Anolis sagrei: one gene and its partner. The protein of the gene in region 2 interacts with the protein of the main gene of each other region in a pairwise test. Links are inferred from orthologs where the notes say so. Each region holds a gene or a part of one and is shown on either strand. Other genes may lie near its edges.

Region 1 (10,532 bases), about 4.2 Mb from region 2:
CTGTTTGCTGCGGAAGCTCCTGGGATAAAGGTACTGTCTGGACGGGCTCTCATACTCGTCTTCCCAGGATCATATTAGCTAAGTTTGGAGTAAGTTTTTGATTACTAGAAACCTTGTACTTTTATTGGCCAGTGTCAATAAATTTGGCATTTGAAGGAAAACAATGTAATTTTGCCAATATTGTCATATTTTATCATTTGCAAAGTGAGCAGTATATTCTTTTCAAAACAAAAATGTTGCTTTTTAATTCTAGGAAGCCTGGAGTTCCTGTTCAAGTTTCTTTTTCCTTCTTCCATAGCTGAGGAAGAAATCCATTTTAACCAATGTTTTACCAAGATCAGTATTCATTCTGCTGCCAACCATATGGCTGGTGGTGTTAGGAATTTTGTCTGAAAATACTGACACATATTCAGGGAGTGGTTCAGGCTCCTTTTTCCTGCCCTGGAAAAAAAGAGAAATGACAAGTTATCTAGATATCTAGCTCTAGAACTAATTGGGGTGGGGGTGGAAATTATGATCCCTTCTACACTGCTATATAATCCAGATTATCAAGAAAATAATCCATATTATCTGCTTTGAACTAGATTATATAAGTCTACACAGCCATATAATCCAGTTCAAAGCAGATAATCTGGATTTTATATGGCAGTATTCCTAGAACGTTTCAGTCAACATGGCTAGTAACATTCTCAAACCTTGAGGAATTCAACAGGATTTCGTATTTAGCAGTGACCAGATGGAGGCACCTACACTGTAGAGTGGGATTTGTGGTTTGATGAGGCACAGCATTCTTTAGCCTCAGCATTAAATCTCTGCAATTAAAGTAGTGTCAAACTGCATTCATTCAACAGTGTAGGTGAACCCTTAGAAATTCACACAAATGGTGGCAATTATGTGCTGTTGTTTGCTTCAGGCAACTAGCAATTAGGAAAACAGTATCTTTAAATAATAAAATAGAACAGTGATTCCCAAAGTGGGCGTTACCGCCTGCTGTTGGGCACTGCAGCGATCGGGGTGGCATGGTAATGGCCACAGGTGCATTTTGGGGCAATGAATAACTGTAAGGTGGCGGTGAAAGCATAAAAGAAAGAAGAGAAGATCTAGAAAAATTGATTTCCAGGGGGTAGGCCAAATATATGTATATACAGGGTTAGTCAAAATGCATAGGCCAATAAGCCATTCAATTGAATGGCTTATTGGCCTATGCATTTTGACTAACCCTGTATATTATGAGATATCTTGGAAATGGGATTAAATAGAAAATTATTGATGTTTCATGTGCACCTGACACACATAGCTTGAAGGTATACACAATATTTGAATAATTCTGTGCATGAAACAAAGTTTGTGTGCATAGAATTATCAGAAAATAAAAGTGTCCCTGTCTCAGCCACTTAGTTGGACAATTTCAGATTTTGGAGTGTTTTGGAATTCCAGATTGGAGATGTTCAATCAGTGTTTTCTAACAAGCAAATCTATAACTTACCATTGGATCATAATCCTTTAGAAAACTCCAGTTCTGATACCTTCAGGATAAAAAAAAGCATCTTAAGTTGGTATGAAACATGCAGAAATTAAAGTGGCCTTTAAAGTATCCAAAACAAATAAATACGTATGTTTAAAGTCAACTTCTGCTGTCATTACCATACACCACAGAATGAGCAACGGAGACTACAAATACTGTTTACCCTTATTTGAGAGTAAGTCCCACTGAATGCAATGTAGAAATGCCTTGGTGACCCAGCAGGTGTGGAAATAATTCACACCCACAAATGATTTTCCATCTAATTTGATAGAGAGTGCAGTTCTTCATGAATGTAGAGAGTCTCCTGCAGATGAAGGCTATATGCCTGGCATAGGTGCTCTCACATCATAACTGAGAAGGGAGTATAGCGCAGGGCATTTGCCATCAATGTGTTTAATAGTGACAAAAGACACTGAAGTATTTTCCAACACTTGTTTCCAGAGGTCACAGCAAGACTTCACTATTGCCCTGCAAGAATCAAGACTATGTTCTGCACCGAGAGCATAGTGTCTAGATCTAGGGAAGTAATGCTACCCCTCTATTCCACTTTGGTTAGGCCACACCTGGAATATTGTGTCCAATTCTGGGCACCACAATTCAAGAGAGATATTGACAAGCTGGAATGTGTCCAGAGAAGGGCGACTAAAATGGTCAAAGGTCTGGAGAACAAGCCCTATGAGGAGCGGCTTAAGGAGCTGGGCATGTTTAGCCTGAAGAAGAGAAGGCTGAGAGGAGATATGATACCCATGTATAAATATGTGAGGCGAAGCCACAGGGAGGAGGGAGCAAGCTTGTTTTCTGCTTCCTTGGAGACTAGGACGCGGAACAATGGCTTCAAACTACAAGAGAGGAGATTCCATCTGAACAAGAGGAAGAACTTCCTGACTGTGAGAGCCGTTCAGCAGTGGAACTCTCTGCCCCAGAGTGTGATGGAGGCTCCTTCTTTGGAAGCTTTTAAACAGAGGCTGGATGGCCACCTGTCAGGGGTGATTTGAATGCAATATTCCTGCTTCTTGGCAGGGGGTTGGACTGGATGGCCCATGAGGTCTCTTCCAACTCTTTGATTCTATGATTCTATGATTCTATCATGTTTCCAACATCTGCTGACCAAAGCCAGGTACAAAACAATAGGGTCAATGTGGTAGCTGGGAGAGGAATCAGAAGTCGGTAGAGTAATTTACTTACTACAACCCATAAGCCATATGCTAGATATAATTTAATTAAGTTTAGACTGTATGCTATAATTTGGTCTATATGTGAGTTTAATTTGGCACATGTGGGTTTGTCCATGCTGGTTCCTGGATAGCCGGTATTGTTTTGTATTTATTGTTGAATGTTTTGCCTTTTTGTCATTGGAATCCACCCTGACTCCCCTTGGGGAGATAGGATGGAATATAAATAAAGTATTATTATTATTATTATTATTATTATTATTATTATTATTATTATTTTACTGACACAAAACCACAGCATGTCACAGCAAATGAGATCTATATGCTGGATTTCGTATCACAAAATCACAAGTCGAACACTTCCCAAGTGTCTAGGACTGTGTGAAGTATTTTCGAATGATGTGGCCAGATCCAAGTAAGGTGGCCTTTTGCAGTTGACAGATCGCGATTTTCTCAATGTTTATTGTTTCCAAATGCCAGCTGAGGTCTTTTGGCACAGCACCCAGTGTGCCGATCACCACTGGGACCACCTGTACTGGCTTATGCCAGAGCCGCCTTATTATTATTATTATTATTATTATTATTATTATTATTATTATTACATGAGCTGACTGGCACTTGAAGTATGCATTTACAATAATACAACAATGTTTTGCACAGCCTAATCTGATATACAGTATGACCTCCATAATATGATATATAATATGATCTCACAGTATTCTCAGTATTCTCAATTTCCTTTATGCACATCTGACAAAATATGTCATCTCTAGACATTTTCTGTTTCCTCTGTGATCTTGGGCTGGTGGTCCTTCATTTCAATTCGATTCACCATTATCCATTGTCTCATACATATCCACACAAAGTCTGGGAATGTATTCCCTGTTGATACAGAGGTTTTATTGTATGGACAGGGAGATGATTTTTTGTTGTTGTTGGATAAGTGGGAATCCGAAATCACTGTTAATCTGCAAATGATCTCCTGGCACACAATTCAGATCTATCTTCTGTCTCCATCTGTGTAAGATCATTGCCCCCTTCTACATGGAGATAGTGTTAACATAGGAACAAGATAACATAAGAGAAATGTCTATGAATTAAGACGACAAATAGATGTCACAGCTTGTAGATTACCACGGCACATGTGTGACTAAATCAGTTATTGAAATACTCTTGTGCTAAAATGCAGAATTTAAAAATAGTGCTGAGTTACTCACCAATATTTGGTTGTCCTTCTTTCAGCCTCCACAAACTCTCTCCAAACCTTGTCTTGTCGAACCTGATCCAGAGGACCTTTCTCTTCTCCCTGGCTTTTGCTGGATGGTTTCCCCGAGCTCTGTGTGGTGGCAAGAAGAGTATTTCCAGACTGGTTGCTGTTCAGTGAAGGAGATGAAGATGACGTTAAAACCCTCCCAGGGCTGGTAGCTGGAGATCGGTGCCCTGCTGATGTACTTCTCCTGAGTCCATTTGCTCTACTCCCCATCTTCTATGTGTTTTCTCCACTATTAGGAGCTAGCAAGACTCTAAAAATTCACAGTGGTCTTGCCCAACATTTTCTCTAAGGTTGTTGATTACATACAGAAATCTTGTTCAAGAAGTATAAAGAAAGCCCCAGTATCCAATAAGCAATATTTCTACCAACCACATGATAAGATCTAGCAATTTCTTGCATAAGTTTGGGTCACATGCAAAATTGGTTAGCCCAACATTATTTTGTTAGGTGAATGAGTTTGTACAATGCATGGAGGTAAGTTATAGGGTAGTAAATTGAGTATGTGTCTATTTAAGCCAGAAAGTTATTTTGAAAGGCTTAAGTTAGCAGTTTTTTTATTGTGTTTTGCACTTCAGTCTCTGAAAGACATGCTACAAAGATGTGTGCTTTCTAATGGCAACATCGCTATAGGAGTTCCCAGTCTACCCACTGCAAGTGTAACAAGAGTCTGTTGTTGTAGGTAGTACTACAGCCGGCTTTCCTTCTGCTTGCGGAGCTGAAACAAAACACTCAAGAGAGTTCAGGCTTTCCTGGTGTGTGTTTACTGTCTCCATTGGAAACCAGACAGGCTTTGTCATGAATATTCATCACAGACAGAAGGTAGGATGTACCCGAGAAACACAGCTGCTGGAGGCTAGGCTTTGAGTGTGTTGGGATTTTTAAAAATAGATGTTGTTTTTGTTGTGTGAATTCACATAGTTTCCAACTTATGGAGACCCTAAGGCTAACATATTACAAAATTTCTTGGTAAAATTTATCCGAAGGAGTTTGTCTTTGCTTCCCTCTGAAGTTGAGTGTGAATTGGCCAAGGTCATCTATGGGCTTCCGTGACCCTGTGGGGATTTGAACTATTTATTTATCCTATCAGGAGCGAACTAAGGGTACAGTTGTAATGTATTTCAAAAACCACAGAGTTTTTAAAAAACTTGGCATATTAAATATCCTTTGACCAGTAGCTGGCCACTTGGAGTGCCTCTGGTGTTGCTATAAGAAGTTCTCCATTGTGCACGTGGCAGGGCTCAGGCTGCATTGTAACAGGTGGTCTTGCATGTTGTGGACTCCACTTTGTGGCTCCATTTCTTAAGGTTGGTTCTGCATCTTGTGGTGCCAGAGCACAATCTGTTCACAACCTTCCAAGTCACCCAGTCTTCTGTTTGTCCAGGAGGGCTTTCCCATTTCGTATCAGCCATGGATTGAGGTTCTGGGTTTTAGCCTGCCACTTTTGGGCTCTCGCTTGCTGAGTATTCCTGCGAGTATTTCCTGAGATCTTAGAAAGGTATTTCTTAATTTAAGGCATTGGTGTGCTGGCTGATATCCGAACAGGGATAGGCCGGAGATGTCACTGCCTTGGCCCTTTCTATGTGGGGTTGCCTTTAAAGACTGTTCAGAAACTCCAACTAGTCCAACAGGCGGCAGCCAGATTACTAACTGGAGTGACATACAAGGAGCATACCACCCCCCCTGTTGTGTCAGCTCCACTGGCTGCCGGTCCATTTCCGAACACAATTCAAAGTGCTGGTCTTGACCTATAAAGCCCTATATGGTTCTGGCTCAGCTTACTTGTCTGAACGAATCTCCCTCTACGCCCTGCCTCAGACTTCAAGATCGTCCAGGGAAGCTCTGCTCTCGGTCCCACCTTCTTCGCAAATGTGTTTGGTGAGACGAGAGACAGAGCCTTCTCAGTGGTGGCCCTCCCACCTCTGGAACACCTTCCCCAGGGAGATCAGGTCAGCTCCATCCCTCCTCTCCTTCAGGAAGAAGCTTAAATCATGGTTCTGGGGCCAGGCATTTGTGGAGCAGGCTTGATAGCGATTGCAATGTTTATGTGAACTGACAATGGACAGGCTCTGACAAAGTCTTGGGACGCTGAATTGGCTTGGATTTGGCTACATAGTTGTTAATAATGTTTTTAAATTGATTTTAACTTAATGGTTGTATTTAATGTGTAATGTTGTGATATATTGTGTATGTATTCTGTATGTGTGGGCATCGAATTTTTGCCGTTGTAAGCCACCCTGAGTCCCCCTTCGGGTCTTGAGAAGGACGAGGTACAAATGTTGGAAATAAATAAATAAATAAATATTTGGCAGTAGAAAAGGCGGCGACGATTGCTAATCAGGTCGGGGCAGCCTTCAGACTTTGTGTTGCCTATTTTGGACCGGAGGCTTGAAACAGAGCTGTACTTTCATCTTCATTTTATAATATAGAAGGGAGATTATAGCACATTAGTTTTGTATTCTGATTTTTATAATATGTTCTTTTTAAGGCTCACTTTACTAAATTTATTTGACCAGTACTTGCCAAAGGCACTGAAACAAAGCAGGTCAAAAATTTATTGGATCTCATCTATGTCGATTTTTTTAAAAGGACAATTATGTTCCATAAAGTGGAAAGGGGTAGGAAACAAGAAGACAACATTACTGATAGATTCATTCATTCATTCAATCAATCAAGGAAGCCACATCCCTAAATTTGCAAGACCTGAGCACATGACAGGATGTCTTAAATATCTCTCAATCATAATGTCACCATAATTCGAAGTCAAGTTAACCAAATAATGACAACAATTTTGTAGTTAAGTTTGTTAGAAAGAGAACACATGACATGTGTCTAATGCATAAAATGGTACATGAACGGTGATGAATAGCAGAATCAGAAAATGTTTTTGGAGTTTGTTTGCAATTACTTTAAGTAAACAGTTAAAACCTTTTCACTCAATACAGTGAACTACCATATAAAATGGAAACACTTGTAGTACATGCTCCGTTTCTCAGAAGATCAATGAAAAGGAACACCTAAGCAAAATGGAAATATCGGTAAATGTTGGTTTCTTTTATTTTACCCACTAAGCAGATCTTAGCCACGAGGGGGTACTATAAGGCAAAGTATGCAATTCAAAGATACAGGCAGTCCCCAAGTTAAGAACAAGATTGGTTCTGTAGGTTTCTACATAAGTTGTATTTGTATGTAAGTTGGAACAGGTACATTTTAAGTGTAACTCCAGCCAAATATATATGTCTTTTAGCTCTAGATAGCTTAAGGAAGGGTTAGCACCCCTATGGTGTTAGTTTTGCTATCTATGCTCCTCTTCAGAGGATTTTGCCTCACTTTCTTTCCCTGTGAAAATTGGATTTTGAAAAATTTGGCATGTTGTAGAAACAATTATTTATGCTAAAGCTTCAGTGGAGAAACCTTTTCCCCCATAATAAGTCCTTCAGGAGTGAATTTTCCTTCCGAGGGTAGATTTCTCTCTTTCTGTTGTCTCACCCTCATTCCCACCCTAAATATCTTGGTGTCTACTTAGTTGGAACACTAACATTCAAGACACATTATGAGAACACAAAGTAGCTGCACACAATAACATCCTGAGGAAACTTACTGATAGCGCATGGGGTGCAGACCCAAAATTAATAGGAACATCAGCCCTGGCCTTGTCTTACTCAATTGCTGAGTATGCCTGCCCCGTCTGGTATGAATCTGCCAACGCAAAGCAGGTGAATATAGCACTGAATTATTCACAGAACATAGAATCATAGAGTTGGAAGAGACCCCGTGAGCCATCCAGTCCAACCTTCTACCAAGAAGCAGGAAAATTGCCATCCAGCCTCTGTTTAAAAGTCTCCACCAAACTCCGGGGTAGAGAGTTCCACTGCTGAACACCTCTCAGTCAGGAGGTTCAGGTGAAACCTCCTTTCTTGTAGTTTGAAGCCATTGTTCCTCGTCCTATTCTCCAGAGCAGCAGAAAACAGGCTTGCTCCCTCCTCCCTATGACTTCCTCTCACATATTTATACATGGCTATCATATCTCCTCTCAGTCTTCTCTTCTGCAAGCTAAACATGCCCAGCTCTTTAAACTGCTCCTAATAAGGCTTGTTCTCCAGACGCTTGATCATTTTAGTCACCCTCCTCTGGACACATTCCAGCTTGTCAATATCTCTCTTCAATTGTGGTGCCCATAATTGGACACAGTATTTCAGGTGTGGTCTGACCATGGCAAAATAGAGGGGTAGCATGACTTCCCTGGATCTAGACCAGGGGTCCACAAACTTTTTAAGCAGAGGGCCAGGTCACAGTGCCTCAAACTGTTGGAGGGCCGGATTATAATTTGAAAAATAAAACATGAATTCCTGTGCACGCTGCACATATCTTATTTGTAGTGTAATAAACACTTTAAAACAATACAATAATTAAAATGAGGATCAATGTTAATAAATATAAACTTATTAGTATTTCAATGGGAAATGTGGGCCTGCTTTTGGCTGATGAGATAGGATTGTTGTTGTTGTTATGTTCTTTCAAGTTGTTTCAGACTTAGATTGACCCTGAGCAAGGGCCGGGTAAATGACCTTGGAGGGCTGCATCCGGCCTCCGGGCCTTAGTTTGAGGACCCCTGCTCTAGACACTATACTCCTATTTATGCAGGCCAAAATCCCATTGGCTTTTTTAGCTGCAGTGTTACATTGTTGGCTCATGTTTAACTTGTTGTCCACAAGGACTCCAAGATCTTTTTCACGTGTACTGCTCCCGATCCACGCGTCCCCCATTCTGTATCTTTGCATTTTGTTTTTTCTGCCTAAGTGGAGTATCTTGTATTTGTCATGGTTGTATCTTACATTTGTCACTGTTATGAAACATGTAGAATAATCACAGGATTACACCTATTGATAGACTCTATAATCTAGCTGGCATCCCCCCCCCCACCCCCATGTACAATGGGAAGTTGCTGCCAATTGCAAGAGAAATAAGGTTAAACATTGTGAAAGCTACCCACTGTATGGCTATCAGCCTCCTCCCAGTAGACTGAGATACTCTGCTTTGAGTTTAGTTCTGGCATACTCGCAGCCAGAACTAAACTCAAAGCAGAGTATCTCATACCAACCCAAAAAGATTTGTATCTCCCGTGGAGAACATACTTTCATGTGCAAAATTTTTCCACCAGAGGAAGGCCTGAGGTAGGCCGAAACCGGTCGTGGTCGGCTGTCCCACAAGCTACTTATAAGACGACACGACTGTACTAAAAGTTTGCACCACATTGTTTGTTGTAGCTGTGGGGTTAACAGTGCAGCATGTATATATATTGTTGTTGAATTGTGGTAGGCTGTTACTCAAGCTACTTATAAGAAAATACGACTGTACTAAAAGTTTGCACCATACTGTTTGTTGTCACTGTGAGGTTAACAGTGCAGCATGTTTATATACTGTTGTTGAATTATATCATTGTTTATGTTATACAAGTGGTATTTTTGTTATATACATTTCACTCAGGAACCCATATATATTATTGTATAAATATTTAATGCCCTTAATAGGCATTATTATCAAATTGCATGTGAATAAAGTATGTCTAAAGCAAAATAAAAGTAGGATTGGGGAGTACATGGCCCTCCATATGTTACTACAGTGCAGTTCCCATCGGCCCTATCCAGTATAGCCAATAGTAATGGACAATGGGATTGGAGTACAGCTATATCCGGAGGCCATACCTTCCCTATCCTTGATTAGAGCAATCAGCTGTGCCGTTTACCTCACAAGATCATAGCATCACTTGAGCGTGCCGTCTTAAACTATTTCATGCCTTTAAAAGGTGTTATGGAAACTGTCCTTCTGATACATCATGTGGAAATCGGATTATCCTTTTGATTCTTTTAGGGGGGGACACTGTTCTTTTCCTGTGTCTATGGATGACACCACAAAGTGGTGAATAGTTACTGGGGAAGACTGTATTTTCATTATTGGCATCCTTTTTTGGAATAGTTTTCTCAGAAAACACATCAGGGAATCTTCTTTGCGATTTCTTTAATATCAGGTGAAGTGGGATTTTAAAATATTATTGGTTTTAGAAGAACATTTAAAATAAATGTTATTTTAGAGCCCCCTGGTGGCACAGCGAGTTAAATTGCTGAGCTGCTGAATTTGCTGACCGAAAGGCTGGCGGTTTGAATCTGGGGAGCGGGGTGAGCTCCCTGTTTTGGCCCCAGCTTCTGCCAACCTAGCAGTTCAACAACATGCAAATGTGAGTAGATCAATGGGTACTGCTCCAGAGGGGAGGTAATGGTGGTCCATGCTGTCATGCCGGCCACATGACCTTGGAGGAGTCTACAGACAACGCTGGCTCTTCGGCTTAGAAATGGAGATTAGCACCACCCCCAAGAGTCAGATATGACTAGGCTTAATGTCAGAGGAAACCTTTACCCTAACCTTAAATGTTTTTTTTTAATCGGAAGTTTTAACACTGCTTTTATTTTCCGTTGCTGAAATTCATTGTGCCTCATTATATATTCCTGTTCTTCTGGTTTACAACGGTATTTTAATTTTTTTTAAAATTGTTATTGTTAGTCACTGG
Region 2 (10,144 bases):
ATATTCCAGGTCAAAGCAGATAATGTGGGGTTGTATTTAGCTGTGTGGGAGGGGCCTTAGATGAGAACCAGAAATCATGTTAAATATGATTAACTCATATAATGTTGATGTCGCCTATTACAAGAGTGCATTGTATCCATGTAAGAAAAAAATTACTAAATCAGACCACAGGGGGCCCTTCCACACAGCCCTCTATCCCAGAATATCAAGGCAGAAAATCCCACAATATCTGCTTTGAACTGGGTTATCTGAGTCCTCACCCAGATAATGTGGGATTTTCTGCCTTGATATTCTGGGATAGAGGGCTGTGTGGAATGGTCCAAAGATATTGAGTGCCATCTGGCTTTTGTTGCCTAGGTTCAGATATCATTTAAACTCATTGTTTGCCTTTTAAGGTGCCTGCTGTACTAATTGTCTAGATTTTAATTTAAAAAGACATTTTAAAGTGTCCGATATGTATAGACCATAAAGATATTGAATTGACGTCATCATGGACTATACATGTCGGGTATTTTAACATGTCTTTTAGAAATGCAAATCTGACATGGGAATCTGAGGCCCCTTTCTACACGGCCATATAATCCAGATTATCAAATCAAATAATCCACATTATCTGCTTTGAACTAGGTTATATGAGTCTATACAGCCATATATTCCAGTTCATTTTATGGCAGTATAGATGGGACTTAGGAACTGAAGAAATATGATATGATTGGGTCTCTAGACACCTGTGTATCATGCAAATGTGAGTAGATCAATAGGTACCGTTCCGGCGGGAAGGTAATGCACTCCATGTAGTCATGCTGGCCACATGACCTTGGAGGTGTCTATGGACAACGCTGGCTCTTTGGCTTAGAAGTGGGGATGAGCACCACACCCCAGAGTCGGACACGACTGGACTTAATGTCAGGGAAAAACCTTTACCTTTCCTATACACACACACACACACACACAAATGAACTAGCCAGAGGATTCATATTGGAATCCTAATATTCCTAGTTGGATTCACTCAATCGGTGTTGTAGAAAAGCTGTTGTTTATACGTCTTTGTTATTGGAATTTCCTCATTAACAGAATGAAGATTACCCTTCTCCAGCTTTCATGTTCCCTCCATCTGAGCTGGAATTATCACAGTAACTGGCATAGAAAGCTTAGAAGCAATTCATTGTTTTGAACATTTTTGTTAATGCAAAATATTTTGTATCTGCTTGATTCGAAATGCATGTTTAACATCCAACTGCTTCATAAAAGACCTGCTCCTGACATTGAGAACTGCTACAACAAGTTGATCTGGGTTGATCTGGGTCAGTGTGCCACAATTTCCATACTCGTATGGAAGATGTCGCTATGGAAAATCATTCAAAGTCATCTTAGTATTGACATTTTTAGTTTACTTTTCAGGTTATTTTGTTTCTTGTTTCAGGCCTTTAAAGCAAGGATGTGTGAAGTTCCTACGATTAAGACGTTCCTCCAGCCTGGCAGTCAAAGGAAACCTCCACCTGATGAAAAGTTACTGCAAACAGCAAATAGAGTTTTCAATAGGAAGTAAAAACAGAAGATGTGTTAAAGCCTATTAGAGAAGTAGCGGTTCTGTACATCTCTAAAAATATCTCTTAGCATTGAAGGGTTGCATCTAGATACTAGTTTCCTATGATTTAACTGATAAACATTTATAATAATTGTTAATCCAAACGTTTTTTTCCTCTACAGCTGTGTTTCTCAACCAACCTAATGCCGCCACCCCTTAATAGAGTTCCTCATGTTGTGGTGACCCCCAACCATCAAATTATTTTCATTGTTACTTCATAACTGTAATTCTGCTACTGTTGTGAACTGTAATGTCAATATCTTATATGCAGGATGCATTTTCATTCACTGAACCATATTTGGCGCAAATACCCGATGCGCCCAAATTTGAATACTGGTGGAGTTGGGGGGGGGGGTGATTTTGTCATTTGGGAATTGTAGTTGCTGGGATTTAGAGTTCACCTACAATCAAAGAGCATTCTGAACCCCACCAACGATAGAATTGGGCCAAACTTCCCACGCAGAACACCCATGACCAACAGAAAATACTGGAGGGATTTGGGAGAAATTGACAGTGATTTAGAAGATAACACACCTGCTCTCCCCTCCCTGCTTGGAGCCTCAGAAACACCTAAAGCCCTCCTCCTGCTGTGATTGGCTGAGAGGCTGGCCAATCACCCAGGAGGAGGGCTTTTGGTGTTTCCAAAGAGGAAGAGAAGGACAAGGGGAGAGATCTTCAGCCTTCTCTACCAAAAATAATCAGAAATATATGTTTTATGTTAGTCTTTGGCGACCTCTCTGAAACCCCCCTCGTGACTCCCCCAGGGGTCCCAACCTTAAGTTGAGAAATGCTGCTCTACAGGCTATCCCCAAGCTATGAACAAGATGAGGTCTGTAGCTTTGTTCTTGGGTTAAATTTATAAGCCAGAGCAGGTGCTTTTAAAGGTGTAACTCCATATGTGTGTCTGTGTGTACACATATATACACACATACACATATACAGACACGCACACACTTTGGATAACACAGAGTTGACATCCTTGGGGACTTTTTTTTTTTTGCAGTCTGTCCCCCTGTTCAGAGGATTTCACCTCACTTTCTTTCCCCGTGATAATTGGATTTTAAAATATTTGGCTTGCTATTGGTGAGAAAGCTTCAATGGAGAGAACCTTTCCCCATGATAACTCTTCCAGGAGTGAATTTCCTTCTGAAGGTTAGATTTCTTTCACTTCCTGTCATCTCACTCCTGCTTGTAACTATGCGTCATTTGCAAGTTGGATGTTTGTTACTCGGGGACTGCCTGTGTATAAGAAAACAAACATCCAAATATATATTGGGGAAATACATGAGAAATCTGATAATTAACAATAAAAATGAATAAGAATCAATATTTTGTTTACTGCTCCATGTATATCGGCAGCTCAATTTCTAATATTTTGCTCCAATATAGGTTTGGAATATTAAAGGTGGTTTGTAACAAAAACAAATTCAATTCCTTTTACTTTCAAAAATGCCATTAAAATGTCAAAAATTAGAAGAATAAGAAAACATAAGTACTGTACTATCATAACAAAGAACAATCAAGTACTGAAATACATGGCATGATGAGACACAGATAAGAAACTGGCAAATAATTCAGAAAAATAGATGAATTTTTATATTTTTGTTCTTCTCCATCCAACTGGCATCCATGTTGCACACTTTGCAACACAACATGGATGAATAAGGAATGTGGAGTATGTATACAGCAGCACTTCTATGATATTTTGTTCTCCTCCATACAACTGACATCCATGTTATACACATTGCAACAGAACATGGATGAATAAGGGATGTGGAGTGTAGAGCGGCAGAAAGATTACAACATGCAATTATTTTTCAACCACTAATGCAATGGCCTCACATTGTTTGGGCAACTCGGGTTAACCGTGATAGGTCATGGGTTTTGGTCCTGAGTAGAAGTGCCCTCATTTAATGCAACATTGAACTGAATTATATGAGTCTGCACTGCCATATGATCCAGTTCAATCTCCATTATAAATGCAGTGTGGATGGGGTTGGTGTTTTACTTCTTTCTCTGTAAAATAATTAAAATTTACCCTTTTATATCTTAAAAATATTAAACTTTCCAACCATTGGGATATAAAAACACAAAACATTTGTGTTTTGATATTTCAATTTTTGATATCCCAATGGAACATGAAACAATAATGTTCCAAAAATAGCTCTGCAGAATATCCAACACAAAGAAAAGGCTTATTTGGTTATACAACAAACAAGCAAGCAGAATAGCGCTAGGAAAAAACTGCAAAATTCAATAAATAAAATAAAATAAAATAAATGGTGAATGAAGCAAAAGGAGCGACTTGTGGCAACACAGCTGGAAGTTCTCTCTGTCTAGTCACTGAAAGTTGAAGCTTGAGAAGAGGGAAGTGGAATGGAGAAAAGTTACACTCACTCCACCACATAGATTTACTAAGTACTGTGGCAACAACACTAGTTACTTATTGTACCACTCCTAACACTGGACTTAAGCATCTTCAGAATCCTATTCATGGGTTTCTCTTGTGAATTAAAAGTTACAGCCATACAATGGAGGAAAACTAGGAATGCCACGTGATATTATAAAATAAGCAGCACAATCACATACTGTTAAAACAGTCACTAAAGTGTGCTCCAACCCTCATGCAAAAATATAAAAAAAATACATTTTAAAGATATTTAAGGTAACCATATAATTTTTCAGTTTATTCCTTGCACTATTATGGATTCTCTTTGTGTACAATCATTTCCTCACAACCTCTGAGGATGCCTGCCATAGATGCAGACAAAACATCAGGAGAGAATGCATCGAGAACATGGCCATACAGCCCGAGAAACCTACAACAACCCAGTGATTTCAGCCATGAAAGCCTCCGACAATACATTTCCTTACAGTTTAAAAGACATCCAAGATTTTTTTTTGCAATTACTATTTAAGACTCCAGCTATATTTACCAAAGTGCTGGCAATGTTGATTTGTTAACTTGGATTGTCACTTACAGGAATCCTCAGAGTACTGTTGGTCACTGCACTGCAAAACAAAGTATGGCAACATATCCTAATGGGAAAAGGTTGAGAATGGTAAAACCCATGTTTCTTAGGCCATCCATATTTATTATGCTGGAAGGAATAGAGAGATTTACATGTACTTGGGAAACTCAAAAGTGTGTTACTGTGCTACTGTGAAGTAGTAGCATTAAAACACTAAATGGTGGATTCTCATGAGAAGGACCCAAATCTTAAAATCACCTAATTCTTCTCGTTAAACAGGTGGGGAATATGGCTAAAATGGGACAATATACGAGTTTAGAAGATGGTCTATGAGATGGTGTGCTAAACAGAAGGCATGATCTGCATTTTGAAGGCATTCTTAGATGGATCTTGTGATAAGAACTATGTAGGCATGTTTTCCTTTCATCTAAGACAGGTTTGGTCATCCCTGAACACACTTTTAGACACACTTTTAGACCACCTTCAGGTTATCTGGGAATGGTAGCTATCAGACCATGGCATCTGATACATTAGCCAAAGAAAGCCCTCCTTCCATTATATCCCAAAAACTTTTCCCAACCCGCAACCTCCCATGCAAAGTGGAGTCCATGACATGCAAGTGCGGAGAAGAGCAAACTACTGTAGTGCAACCTGAGCCCTGCAAGATACACAATGGAGGACCTTCTTACAGCGACACCAGAGGCACTCCAAGTGGCCAGTTTCTGGTTAAAGGACATTTAGCATAATGTCAAGTTCTTAACTTTGTTTGTGGTTTTTTTTTTTAAATACATTATAACTGTATTCTCAATTCTGTTCTGACAAGATAAATAACTCCATGAAAAATTGACGGTTTTACACAATAGCTTTCACCAAATTCACGATTGACTGTTTTACTACATGTCCAAGGGTCTGTTATAGTACATTTTCCTTTAAATATTAGTAAGCCCAGCCATTTCAAATGCAAAAAACAGGTTTGAAAAATACATAAGCCAGACAGGGAAGACAGTCAGAGGGAGAGGTAGTCGGAGTCTTCCCCAAAGTAGGTGGAGTTTCCTGCATTACAAAAGTCTGAGGCACTGTTCTTGCAGACACGAGGGAAGGTATCTTGAGCCTTGCAGAAGGTAAGTATGGCAGAACAGATATTTTCTTCAACCACTAAATGCTTTGAATTCTGCTGGTGTAGGAAGAACGGATTAAATATAAACAAAACTGCTGGTCACAACAGAAACAATATATAATTTTTGCTGATTTAAGGTTTACAATCCTTGCTGTGTATTTGTAGATCTTTGACAGATGAAAGAAGATCATCTGTGAAAGATCTACAAATACACCGCATGTCAAAGCCAGCCAAGTAGGCAGAAGGCATAGAGTTGATTTGCCAAGGCAAAGGAATGCATGTACAAATTTTGGAACGTAAAAGATTAAAATATACTTAAATGTACTTAGATATATTGGAGAAGGGGTGAAATGTACTTTAGACTGCCATTCTTTGCTTTGAATCTCTTTGAATAGATTAAATACTTTTTCTCCTGCTGTAACTGTGAATTGTGTGTGTTGGGCAGGGAGTTCCGGTCTTCTGTATTCCAAACAACATTGCTTTGTACGAAAAGAATATTGTGAGAGTTTATCACAATTTATTAGAAAGTGCTGGGGGGAAAACATGTGGAATACAGTAATTTTTTTAAAAAAAAGAATATATATTTTCAGGCTTAAATGTCATACATTCAAGTAGGAAAGTACCACTGAAATCAACAGGTCTTATTTCTGAATAGGCATGTCTCCTGATGCATGTACACAGTACAATTAATGCAGTTCAACATCACTTTGGAAACCCAGTGGCACAATGGGTTAAACCCTTGTGCCAGCAGGACTGTTGACTGACAGGTCAGCAGTTCGAATCCAGGGACAGTGAGTTGAGCTCCCTCTGTCAGCTCCATCTCCCCATGCAGGGACATGGGAGAAGCCTCCCACAAGGATGATAAAACATCAAAACATCCGGGCGTCCCCTAGGCAACATCCTTGCAGACAGCCAGTTCTCTCGCTCCAGAAGCAACTTGCAGTTTCTCAAGTCGCTCCTGACACGAAAAAAAATCATTTTAATTGTCATGGCTCAATGCTATGGGATTTGTAGTTTGGTGAGAAATTAGGACAATGATAGCAAACTGCATTAATTCTGCAGTATAGAATCAGCTTAGGATTGCATGGAAAGTCTGCAATTCTCAGACCAGAGAGCAACTTGGTTTTTCTAGACAAAAAATTCAATAAACAGGTATCAGTTCTCTATGGGAAGAGACTTTCCTTGGAGTAGGCATAATGGGAGTTACTTCTAAACAAACATACTTTTGACTGTTTGCTTAAAATGTTAGCTGTTCTACATATGCTTAATGCAGCAGCGTATGTTTAAGATGAGACAAGAGTGTAGTATCTGCATTAGGATGATAAGCCTATCAGTCAGTACAGATGCTGCGGACAGCTTCTCCTTAAAGCTTCTTACTTGGAGTCAATCTAAGACAACATAACCTTTGGCTGTTCAAATATTCTTAACTTTTTTGTAAATAAAAATGAAGGACATCATGGTGTGGATTCCTCAGACATCCATATATTCTTGGCAGAGTTAGAAGCAGCGGGATGAAATGCAGAATGGTTACAATCCAGTGAACATTCTCTTGATAGTTACGTAGATTACACAAGATGTGTTTGGTCTAAGTAATCTTGAGCATGAAGCAATGGTGGCATCAGTTTCCTGTTTCAATGGTGAAGGTCTGTATTAAATCATAGGAAACAGTTCTGCATGTAAACTGTTCCTGTGTAGTTTTGCCACTCATTTTATTATTTCTTTTGCAAAGTTATTAATATAGGTATATCAGAACTGTGCCAGTGCTTCGACACACTGATCATGGTTAGAAGTATACCATAGAGTCCATCTACACAGTAGAATTAATGCAGTTTGACATCACTTTTTACTACCATGGCTCAATACTATGGAATGCTGGGAGTTGTAGTTTTCTAAGGCATTTAGCTGATTCTGCAAAGAGTGCTGGTACCTTAGCAAGCTACAACTCCCAGTATTCCATAGCATTGATCCATGGCAGTAGGAGCCATGGTGGCACAATGAGTTAAACCCTTGAGCCGGCTGACCTGCTGACCTGAAGGCTGGCAGTTCGAATCCGCAAAACATGGTGAGCTCCCATCTGTCAGCTCCAGCTTCCCATGAGAGAAGCCACCCATGAGAGAAGTCACCCACAGGATGGTAACATATCCAGGCATCCTCTGGGCAACGTCTCTGCAGACGGCCAATTCTCTCACCCCAGAAGTGACTTGCAGTTTCTCAAGTCGCTTCTGAAACAATTTTTAAAAATCCATGGCAGTTAAAGTGGTATAGAATTAGTATGGCTTCCATAGTCTTTTTCATACAGTTATAGATTTGTGCTGGACTGCTTTCCCCTGAACCCTCCTAGGGTTTTAAAAACCTATGGTCTTTTTAACCAAAATGCAACAAATTGTCTAAATCTGTATCAAATATCTTGCAGAACTTCAAGATATTTTGTTCTGAATTTGAGTCTCTACCTGCATTACATCATAGAAGATCGCTTCATTTTGTTCGTTCCTTACCGTAATATTTAATATAATAATAATACAATTATTTAACAGAAATACTAGTGTCAAAATAAGTAGTGCCCGAGTCTGTAGAATCATAGAATAATAGTCAGAAGAGGTTGCATGGGCCATCCAGTCCAACCCACTGCCATGCAGGAAAAGCACAACCAAAGTGCCCCTAACGAACGGCCATTTGGCCTCTGTTTAAAAGCCTCCAAGGAAGGAGCTGCCACCACACTCCAGGGCAGAGAGTTCCACTGCTGAACAGCTTTCAGAGTTAGGAAGTTCTTCCTAATGTTCAGAAGGAATTTCCTTGCCTGTAGTTTGAAGCCATTGTTCCGCATCCTAGTCTCCAGGGCAGCAGAAAGCAAACCTGCTCCCTCTTCCTTATGTCATACTTTCAAGCATTGAAACATGGTTACCACACCTCCTCTCAACCTTCTCTTCTGTAGGCTAAACATACCCAGCTCTTTAAAACGCTCCTCATAGGGCATGGTCTGTAGAAGTGGGAGAGACTTTGTGCACTGTCAAGATGTTTATGGAACAACTCAGTCACAGCAACATCATTAATCTCTCCATTTTTGAGGACAATGTTGGGCTTAGATCACCTTTTCATGATGGGATTAGACTATGCTTTCACCCAGGCTTTGAATGCTAGCACTTATGAGTCAACTAGGGTTTGTGCCCTTATCTCATAGCCACACCCATATAACTCCTCTCCCCGCTTTTTTGGATCAACTATTGCCACAAGAAAGCATGATGATGTGGTTAACGTTTAGCAATTTCAGGCAATACACCATTTACCAGTTTTATATTGTGACTGTGGGCACTTTCAACCAACCACTTCTCAAAAGGAAACAGGGCTAGCAAACCAGAATACAAGTGGCGAAGATGAATGAAGAAAGAGACATAAATTGTGTATGTCCCATGAGATCCTTTAATTGGCCATGGCTTATTAGCATAAGACTACAAAATTTATTTATTTATTTATTTACAGCTTTTATATTCTGCCCTTCTCATCCTGCAGGGGACTCAGGGCGGATTACAGTGTACACATATACGGCAAACATTCAATGCCAATTTTTGACATACAAACATATACAGACATAGACAGAGGCTATTTAACTTTTTCTGGCCGCCAGGGGAGCCAAAACCACAAATATTCTTAGAAACAACATGTAGCAAGCACAACCCAGTTCCAATCTGCCAATCCATAAGATTTCAATAGATATACAGTTGTCCATCCACATTTGTGGTTTTGACTTTTGAGGATTTGATTATTTACATATTTTATTAAATCTGTCTAGGAATCTCTAGGTCCTCCAATGTTACTCTATTGTCAATGTTCTCCAGGAGGAGTAGAGATTTCCAGAGAGAACACCAATATAGGACTTTCGAGGTCCTCCAGTAATAATAATAATAATAATAATAATAATAATAATAATTCCCTCCCAATGTGTGATGAGAAATTGTTGCTAACTGTGTGAGAAATAAGGTTGAACACTGTGAAAGCCACCCACTGCATGGCTATCAGCCTCTTCTTGGTAGACTCAAATTAATGAAGAGTTCCATAAGAACCACCACTCCTCTTAATGTTCCCCCAGCAATAGCAAGTGTATCACTCTGGGCAGCGAAACCAGGACATGCCAAATGGATGGCCCCCCATGAAGGTCTTCCTCCAGGGGCAAACAAAAAATGGGCAACTTGGAAGTCCCTGAACACACTCAGAAGTGGAGTGGGCAGATCAAAAGACAACCCGGTAAAATGGCACAACCCTGCCAAAACAGCACACCTTGTGTGACTGGAACAGAACAGATAACTCTGCAATTAAAATCTAGTCCACAATGCCCTGCCTCATGCACTGAGGAAGAATTGCTTAAAGCTACAGACAATGCGGTGACTGTTGCCTGTTTTTGATCTAAAATTATTTAGCTGCTTGTGTTCCCTCTATTTTATCAGTTTTATACTTATTTATGCAATACTTCTG

Evidence for each region. The genes of interacting proteins can lie anywhere in the genome.
Region 1: the proteins of glutathione S-transferase A4-like (region 2) and C1H2orf50 interact in binary tests that used the Homo sapiens proteins (3 or more experiments, as listed by UniProt). The two-hybrid records come from large-scale screens. The link is inferred for Anolis sagrei from reciprocal best matches to the Homo sapiens genes GSTA4 and CIMIP5.

What each region holds. Positions count from the first base shown.
Region 1 is NC_090021.1:129,702,098-129,712,629, forward strand, and holds the start of C1H2orf50 (uncharacterized protein C2orf50 homolog), read right to left. Parts: upstream 4,530-10,532; 5' UTR 4,181-4,529; coding exon 3,915-4,180; intron 1,527-3,914; coding exon 1,487-1,526; intron 442-1,486; coding exon 250-441; 3' UTR 1-249.
Region 2 is NC_090021.1:125,497,643-125,507,786, reverse strand, and holds the start of glutathione S-transferase A4-like, read left to right. Parts: upstream 1-5,573; 5' UTR 5,574-5,681; intron 5,682-10,144. Other genes in the region: glutathione S-transferase A4-like, read left to right, coding at 1,424-1,549. UniProt on the Homo sapiens protein: Conjugation of reduced glutathione to a wide number of exogenous and endogenous hydrophobic electrophiles. This isozyme has a high catalytic efficiency with 4-hydroxyalkenals such as 4-hydroxynonenal (4-HNE).